Linked DNA regions of Schizosaccharomyces pombe. Changing the gene in region 1 together with any one later gene gives a genetic interaction. Each region holds a gene or a part of one and is shown in the gene's direction. Other genes may lie near its edges.

The links.
Region 2: mutations in nnr2 (region 1) and bqt3 together harm fitness more than expected from each alone (negative genetic interaction), as found in Schizosaccharomyces pombe (one large-scale study listed by BioGRID).

Annotation. Positions count from the first base shown.
Region 1 is NC_003421.2:1,442,180-1,446,382, forward strand, and holds nnr2 (NADHX dehydratase Nnr2), read left to right. Parts: upstream 1-2,309; 5' UTR 2,310-2,473; coding exon 2,474-3,457; 3' UTR 3,458-3,703; downstream 3,704-4,203. Other genes in the region: SAGA complex subunit Spt3, read left to right, coding at 823-1,746; SPOM_SPCC61.04C (Rab GTPase-binding protein), read right to left, coding at 4,164-4,203.
Region 2 is NC_003421.2:366,854-371,187, reverse strand, and holds bqt3 (bouquet formation protein Bqt3), read left to right. Parts: upstream 1-2,170; 5' UTR 2,171-2,192; coding exon 2,193-2,348; intron 2,349-2,397; coding exon 2,398-3,009; 3' UTR 3,010-3,742; downstream 3,743-4,334. Other genes in the region: vsl1 (SNARE protein Vam7), read left to right, coding at 4,199-4,234, 4,271-4,334. UniProt on the Schizosaccharomyces pombe protein: Connects telomeres to the nuclear envelop (NE) during both vegetative growth and meiosis. This connection ensures clustering of telomeres to the spindle pole body (SPB) when cells enter meiotic prophase.

The DNA of each region.
Region 1 (4,203 bases):
AACTTTTTTAAATAATAGAAGAATTACACTTTGACCCTTTCTCCGAGGTTCAGGCTAAGCCGCCAATTTGATGTTCCCGCAATTAACTCCTCGAATTTATGAGTGATGGCTTCAATAGGGTATTCATTTGTTCAGAGTATTCAATTTAGTTTCTAGTCACACTTAAACATTTTGGAAGTATTAAAAATTACAGAGATTGGTAGCAGACGATTTTACAGCATGCTCGAAATAGAAGCATTAAGAAGAAATTGCAATATCACTCAGACTAATGAAATCCTTCTAAACACGAAAACATAATCTAAAGAATTGCTAGTAATATCACAAATTGCTGATAATTAGAAGGTGTTTACATTTATGGCAACAAAGATGAATGATCTAGCAAAAGAGAGTTTCAGACCAAAGAAAGTTGATGCTTTTCACTTTATAGATTACTCAAGTATCTACTTTAAACGGAAGTAAACAAGTTACGAAGGTAAAAAATTTCAAACATTTACAATCTTAAATTAATAAACCTATGCTTCAAAAAAAGACAGGAGTTACTCTTCTAATAACACTTCTTCACTAACTAGTTGTACTGGATGTTCTGTAACGAAAGAATGGACTGGGTTTGCAGTTTGGATAGTGTATCCAGCTCTCATAAAATTTGTTTGCTTTTTGCAAGCTAAACGTTTGACAATGGTTTTTCTTTTTCAACTTAAAGCACTTTATGCCCCATCAATTAGTCCTTCTTACTGGAAACTATATTTTTCTTGTCAGTTTGGAGTTCAGCAACTTGTCAACTACCCACCACTTTGGGAAGTGGTTAAAAATAAGCAATGCGGAATGACTGAGACTGGCAGAACCAGTAAATATCGTGTTGAAATTCAACAAATGATGTTCATTCTAGGGGAGGTGCAGGATCCTCTCCCAGAAACCACACAATTAGTCGAAGAGCTAATACGTGGACAAGTGATGGAGATGTTAATTCAGGCAAATGAGCTAGCTTTACGACGTGGCTCAAGATCTATTACTGTGGAAGATTTATTTTTCTTAATTCGCCATGATCGTGCAAAGGTGAATCGACTAAAGACATACCTGTCATGGAAGGAAGTGCGCAAGAAAGCGAAGGAGCAGGATGCCAATCCTGCCGATACAAAAGATCTTTTTGAGGAAGTAGATTCAAAAACAAGGTCAATGAATGCAGTTGCTATGCCTTGGGAAGTAAAAAATATGTTTACAGAGCCTGTACCGGAAACAGAAGAGTTTGAAGAAGATAACGATACGATGGAAATGGCATATGCGACGCGACAACGTCTTAAAATGGCAGATGAACGCACGAAGAAAATGACGCGTGAGGAGTATGTTCATTGGAGTGAATGTCGACAAGCCAGTTTTACTTATCGAAAAGGCAAGCGATTTCGTGAATGGTGTGGCATGTCTATTCTAACAGATACTCGCCCTGATAATGATATTGTAGATATACTTGGCTTCTTGACCTTTGAGATTGTGGCTACCTTAACTGAGGAAGCACTGGCTGTGAAAGATCGAATGGATCGGATTCAAAATAGCTCGGGTAGTGGAGGCTCTCATGCAGCGCATCATCCGAAAAATTGCAGTTTATTTGATGGACTTACTGAGGGGAGAACTCCCCTTCAAGTTTCTCATGTTTTAGAAGCTTTTCGTCGTTTGCAAATCCCCGATAAAACTCATACTGCTATGCGCAGTTTTCATGGGGGTTTGGTCAAATCTCGTGTGTATCTTATCTAATCATTTTCACTGTCTCTTCTTTTTTTTTAATTGCTGTAAGGCTTCCATTTACATCTAAATGCCCTGTTTTCCTGTAATTACCCATACTAGGTACGTATATGTTATTATCCCCATTACTGGTTCTCCTTGAAACAATATGGTTTAGATCTTACGAAAGCCCCTTTACTTTATGGAGATATTAACTACTCAATATATTTCATCACATTAGACTGTTGTCTTGCATCTCCGATTGAATTCATAATTTTATTTCTATCTTTCCACTAAGCGATATTCTTAATTGCAGCAGTGGTAGTATTTGGACTTTTGGATTTTTTAATATCAAATTTTTCTTATTATACTGGAATCTCATGATATCTGTGAATATTTGCAAATCTTCTTACCAAACTTCGTTTACTCTATACAAACTGCTGATTTTCGTAATGAACAAGGGGATCATCCTTTTGATATCGTCAGTGCGAAATTTTTAAAAAACAAAGGGTTTCTTTACGTTTTTTTTTTGTTTTCGAGAACATTTGAACTTCATCACTGAGCGTCATTTTGATCATACCTTCCACCTTAACATCATACATACGCCAACTCCAAGAATAACCGAACATTCGTATTCCGAAGCACTCACAGTACTTAAGAGATACAAAATTCAGGAATTTTAAAGACTTTTTGATTTATTATAATTGTAATTCTTTATAATTTTTTGCTATCCGAAGAATTCGCTCAACAAGATTACAACATGACATCTGGATCTCCCAAAATTACAAATTTGCTGACTCGTGTGAAGCGCATCATTCCACCACTTCTTGATACCTTCCACAAAGGTCAAGCCGGTCGAGTTGGTGTTTTTGGGGGTTGTCAGCACTACACAGGTGCTCCGTACTATTCTTCGATGTCGTCGATGCTCTTCGGCAGTGACCAAAGCCACATATTTTGTGAAAAAGAAGCTGCAAATGTCATTAAAAGCTATTCTCCTGATCTGATTGTTCATCCATTTTTACGTGAAAAGGACAAAGCTGGACCAGAAGATAGTGTCGATAAATGCTTTGAACTTATAAAGCCCATGATGGGAAGATTGCATGCCATCGTAATTGGGCCTGGATTGGGACGTGATGAATGGATGCAAGAGATTATGGCCAAAGTAATTGAGTATGCGCGCAAAAATGATATGCCTATGGTTATCGATGCTGATGGCTTGTGGTTAATTCAACAACGTCCCGAATTGGTTTCGGGTTATCATAATGTAATTTTAACACCTAACGTTATTGAGTTCAAAAGACTTTGCGACAAGCTTGACATTAAGAGTGACGGACCCGATGCTTGCAATCAGCTAGCTGGCAAACTAAATTTGCTCATCATTCAAAAAGGCCAATCCGATATTATTTCCGATGGCGCTACTGCATATGCTTGCTCCGTTCCTGGTGGTCTTAAACGTTGTGGTGGTCAGGGTGACATTTTAACTGGTATACTTGCTACATTCCTTGCTTGGAGACATGCTTATCTTAGCAAAGAATGGGATACAGAAGGTAATATGGATGCTAAAGAATGTCTCTTCCTTGCCGCATTTGGAGCCTCTGCCTGTACTCGCTGGTGCAGTCGTTTGGCGTTTAAGGAATGTGGTCGTGCAACTCAATCAACTGACCTGGTCAGACATGTGGGTAAAGCGTATAATGCGTTAATGGAGGATGAGATACCGTCTGTCGAGGAAAAAATAAAAGATTAAAAAAAAATAATATTTAAAAACCAAGAAGATAAAGGACCCTTAAACTAATAATTGACTTTTTTGCTTGTTTGTTCCCTGGAATTGACATTATTACCATGTTTTCAAGTCTTGGTTCAAATTCCCAAGCAAAGGGATACCTTAAACTTAGTTACTAGGAATGACTGAAACGAAAATACCAGATTATTAATGAAATAGCGTATTTAATTTTAAAAACCATGTTCAAAATAAACATTGCATAGTCGTTGGTATCATTGTTGTTGAGGAAATTTGATGTAGCTGTCACCGTTTTTATTTATTGTAACAGACAAGGGCAAGCAGACTCTTCTTTTTGATTCGTAATTGTCATTATTTACATTATCAAATTTAACGGAAATTAGTATTGTTCCTAAGTTTTACTATAAGACGATGTATCTATGAGCACGACAATAGCTTCGGAAACCAATTCAAACCTTCATATAATAGTTAAATTCTAATATTCTACGATTTAGATATCTAGATTATTAATCAATTCCTATCTTGACCTCAACGTTGTATTTTCATTCTACTGTTTTTCTTCTTGGAAAGTCATAATTGACAATATGGAATATTGAAATGCGTTATCAATTAAAAATGTTACTATTTAATTTGAAAAAAAGAAATGTGAGATAAAAAGAAAGAACATGGATAATAAATATCTCTTTTATGGGATAAAGATGCACAGATACGATTATTTCGAAAACACGGTGATCACGGCAAAGACCCCGTAA
Region 2 (4,334 bases), 1.1 Mb from region 1:
AAGATAATTTAATGATTTAACTAGCTTGTAATCGATGAAAGCGATATGGTAGTCCTCTCAAGAACTCACTATCATGATTCGCGCTCTGTATCACTATTTGGTAAATATCTAAAAAATTCTAAAACTATTACATGGCGAGAAACAATTTGTTGGTTAAATTTATTGATTGATCAGTTACCTTACTATTTATTAATGTATAAAATAATCTTGACTATCGATTGATCTAGCAAACGAAACAGCAAGTCTTGTATTTCTGCACGGTTTTCGAATAGAATCGTCTTTATGTTGCTTAAACATTCAGTATGCACATAGCAAGCCCTTTTCTAAACTTCGCTTTCATTTTCAAAAACCGCAATTATTATCTTTTGTACATCATCAGCTGGATTTAAGTAATGTAATCATTACGCTCTCTCAAATACTTGTAACGATTTCGACAAAAAATGATTAATTGATGAAAAGTCAAGTTGAGTTTTTGAACACGCTATGTTGTTAAAAATATTATTCTGGTTTGTCTGGCAGTACAATTGGAACAATATATGTTAAATGCAATAATACATTCGCGATGAAGGACTTTCAAGTACATGGCTATTTTGTGAATTCCTGTGTTTTCTCGATTGTTAAAACAAGGAGATTTTTGGCATATTTGAATTAAACTTGCCATTTCATAAGAAATTTCTATATTTAATATTAATAAAGTTTTTGGGCGTTCCTTTTTCCGCTATTTGCTAGCTCTTCTATACTTTGTTTACACTTTTAAATGTTTGACATATATGCTGCTAATCCTCAAATCGCCTCAATGAATTCTTTTTAAACCAAAAAGAAATCCAGAATTTGTAAAGAATGCAGTAATTGTATTTTGATATTCTTTGAGTATCAGTGAATATAAAATCCGATATAGCAATTGTATCGACTTTGTTGATAATCATTTAGCTTTTTACTATATAGAATAACTTATCTCTTTCAGATATGGAGTATTAATGTTGGCACGGGTTTGGTGTTTGCATTAATGCTTCAGAAAAATAAGTTACGCCAACAGTACTTCCACCTTTGTATAACCATTTTACCTATAAACTTATAATTTATTTCGTTCAGATGTATTTATTTCCTTTCTTTAATAACATTATGTCAAAGGTAGAAATATAAGCAACTAGTTAATTCAAATTTTTATACTTAGACATTCATGTTTTATGTATAAATTCTTTTCAATGCAAAAGCTTGAGCTTGATTATTCTAATAAATTTCAAAAAATTATTTTAATATGTACATATATATTTATAGGTTTTTTTGTCTCAATTGTCCGAAATATTTAGCTTTTTATTTTTATGAATTTTCAATATACACTGGCGATTCTCTCATGAAAAATGAAGCTACCTATAATGGAATAAATATTTTGAAATAGCACATTTTTTATTATATATGTGTTCTCAGTGACTATAGATTATCAGATTATTAAGGGAAGAGAGATTTGAAATAACATAAATTATTTGATATATTAAATTACCGCTCAAGTCAATCACCTCATGGTTTTTATGTTATTAAATAATTATTTTGTTTGACTTTAGGAATTATAAAAAATCACCTTTTTACTTCAGTTTGATTTTAATCGTTGCATATACGTAAAGTAATGTACTTAGAAAAATTTAAGTCCATAATATATGTCGCTAATTTCCCCTTTTTTCTTTTTTAAAAAAGAATAAAATAAAAAAAAAGGTACTAGTAAATTAGCAGTATAAGGTTTTTTGGATTATTATTTACGATCATTTAAGTTAATGAACCAACTCCATGAATAAGTTAAAATTATTTTAATAAAGTGAAAATAAAGGTAATGTTTTTTTTTTTTAGGGATAATTCAAAACACATAATTATTCATGGTAATAAAGGCATCGGTCATTCTTTGTTTTTATATTTCATTTTGTACCCATTTTATGCTTAAAATCCCACGGTTCTAATGTTTGCACGGAGAACACTTTCTTGCAAACTAATCCTAGAGATTTAATAACACGGAATTTCAAGAAAAATATAATTTTGGTTTTCCATAGACTTACTACCTAAATTCAAAGGATCCTGGTTTCCTGCTGATTCATTATTTACCATTTCACAGACTCCATTGTTTGAAGATACTGTTACCTGATCAATCGTTACTTGTGTGTTCATCGATGACAAACTATATGAAAACTACCAATATTCGCAAAATGTCAGGATCGAAGTGCTGTTCGTCTTCAAACACCATAAAGGTGTCCATTTACCTATTTTTACACACGTTAACTTATGGCTTGCTAAATTATCACCTCAATCCACGATTATTAGCTTCCACGGGGGTGGTGGAAAGTGATATTCCTTACTGGATGGTATGCAGATCATTATATAAGTTTAGATTTACTAACAATGGATTGAAAGAGTTATTTATCAATTATTATGCACGTTGGTCAATCTCTTCTGTTGCAGAAATTCAACCTAGGTTATGGATGGCTTTTACTTACGAAATATCCAGTATACGTGCTTCTCTCGACCTACTACCTTACTCCTTTGAGTCAAATTGCTTGGGCATTCATAATTGACGCCATTTCTTTGCTAGTGGCGCGCTGTTTCTCTAGAGCTAACCCCATCAAATGTTCAAACCAAGTCAACACACAGTATAGTGTCTCTTTCCTATTCACAATTATGGCGAGTGTATTGATCAGCGTGCTTAATTATATATCACAAAAGATATTCTTAAACGGTCTTATTCTTGGAAACTCCCATAACGTTGTTACTAGTCTCGTTGCCCCTCCGCTCCCGTTACAATATCTTGCCCATGTACCAATTGGTTACGTTATTCAAAGAGTCGTGTTTAGTGAAAGGCCTATTCCCCAATCATTATTTTTGATGATTTTCCTTACTCTGTGGAATTGCTTTATTCCTTATTCAATTTTGTTTTCAATGAATTGGTCCGCCATGTTCCAAGTGGTGGGTGCTTACTTGTCACAAATTTGGATTATCACTTTTATCTGCTGGGCATTGTCTCTGTAAAGTTCGAGTTCTGTTTCTTTTACATCATTTTTTTTCTTGTAATGTAGTTAGTTGGTTGTTTACTTCCTGGTGGAAGTTCTCATGGGCTTATCTTAATTCATTGTATCTGTTATGGGATTTTCCAAATTTGTCTATATGTCTTTACTCGTGTTCAATAATTTCAGTGAGGTAACGTCAAACTTTTTTCATCAGGTTAATGCCCTTTTTCTTCTCTTTTTCATTTTTCGTTTTCACGGTGGAATTTATTTCTGATGAAGGAGGCAGATTTCTTCTTTCTGAGTTGAACATCATGTGTGGAACTGACTATGAATATATGTAATTTAATGACTGTGGTTTCAAATTGATTCCGAACTCTTTTAAAAGATATCCATTGTGGGATGTTTCGTCCTTTATTCTCATCTATTAGGGTCGCATAGTTTGAATTGGATGATCGTTCAAAAGCAGTATATGGTTATACTTTAAGCAAATGTGAGAAGTCTTTTCGCTGTATATTTTTCCCTCTCGTGATATGAAAAAACAGTTGTTAAGTTCCACTAGTACTATTATATATCATCTGTGGGGCCTTTATATTTACATGACATGTATTTTAAGTGAAAAATCTTTATGCATATCAGAGTACTGTTGTTATTTGGAATCTACCTATACTTACACTTTTGCATAATGTTACGATCTGGCGTTTATTCTGTGCTTTTAATACTTTAGGCAAGTCGCGCTTGCAACCAATCCATGTAGGAAAATATAGAAAATAAACAATTTCTGTTTATTACTAAGCTTCGTTAAGATTTTGCCGTTCTTCTGTTTAGGTATTGTAATTACTTGTAAGTTGCACCGTTCACGAGTGCCAAAAAAAATACTCAATAATCTGACTATAAAGTGTTTAAAGGTATAAGATAATATACTAACCTAATTCATTATTTTAATTTCTAAATCTATTGCAAACTGGTAAACTTTCTTTCAATACCTGCCAATTCGATAATCGTAAAGGCATCTCGCGCATCAAGGAAAACATGAGGTTTAAAGGATCTAAAGCATCATGAAACTGAAATTTATCTTTATTCAACTAATAGAACCTATACTATTTGAAAGCTCAAATTCTACATTATACAGTTTTATAACGATAGTGCAGTAAATCCGATACAGTAGTCTGTTGTTCATGAACTCATTGTTGATCAACCTGTTCATAGCAAGTATGGCGCTAAAAATTAAAATACCAGAAACGTCTCAAGTAAGCTTTATTCCTTTAATTTTTACTTACAACTAGTCTTCTGATGAATATTCACGATGGACGGTTTACCATATTGAAGTAGCATTTCCGAATGGTGGGA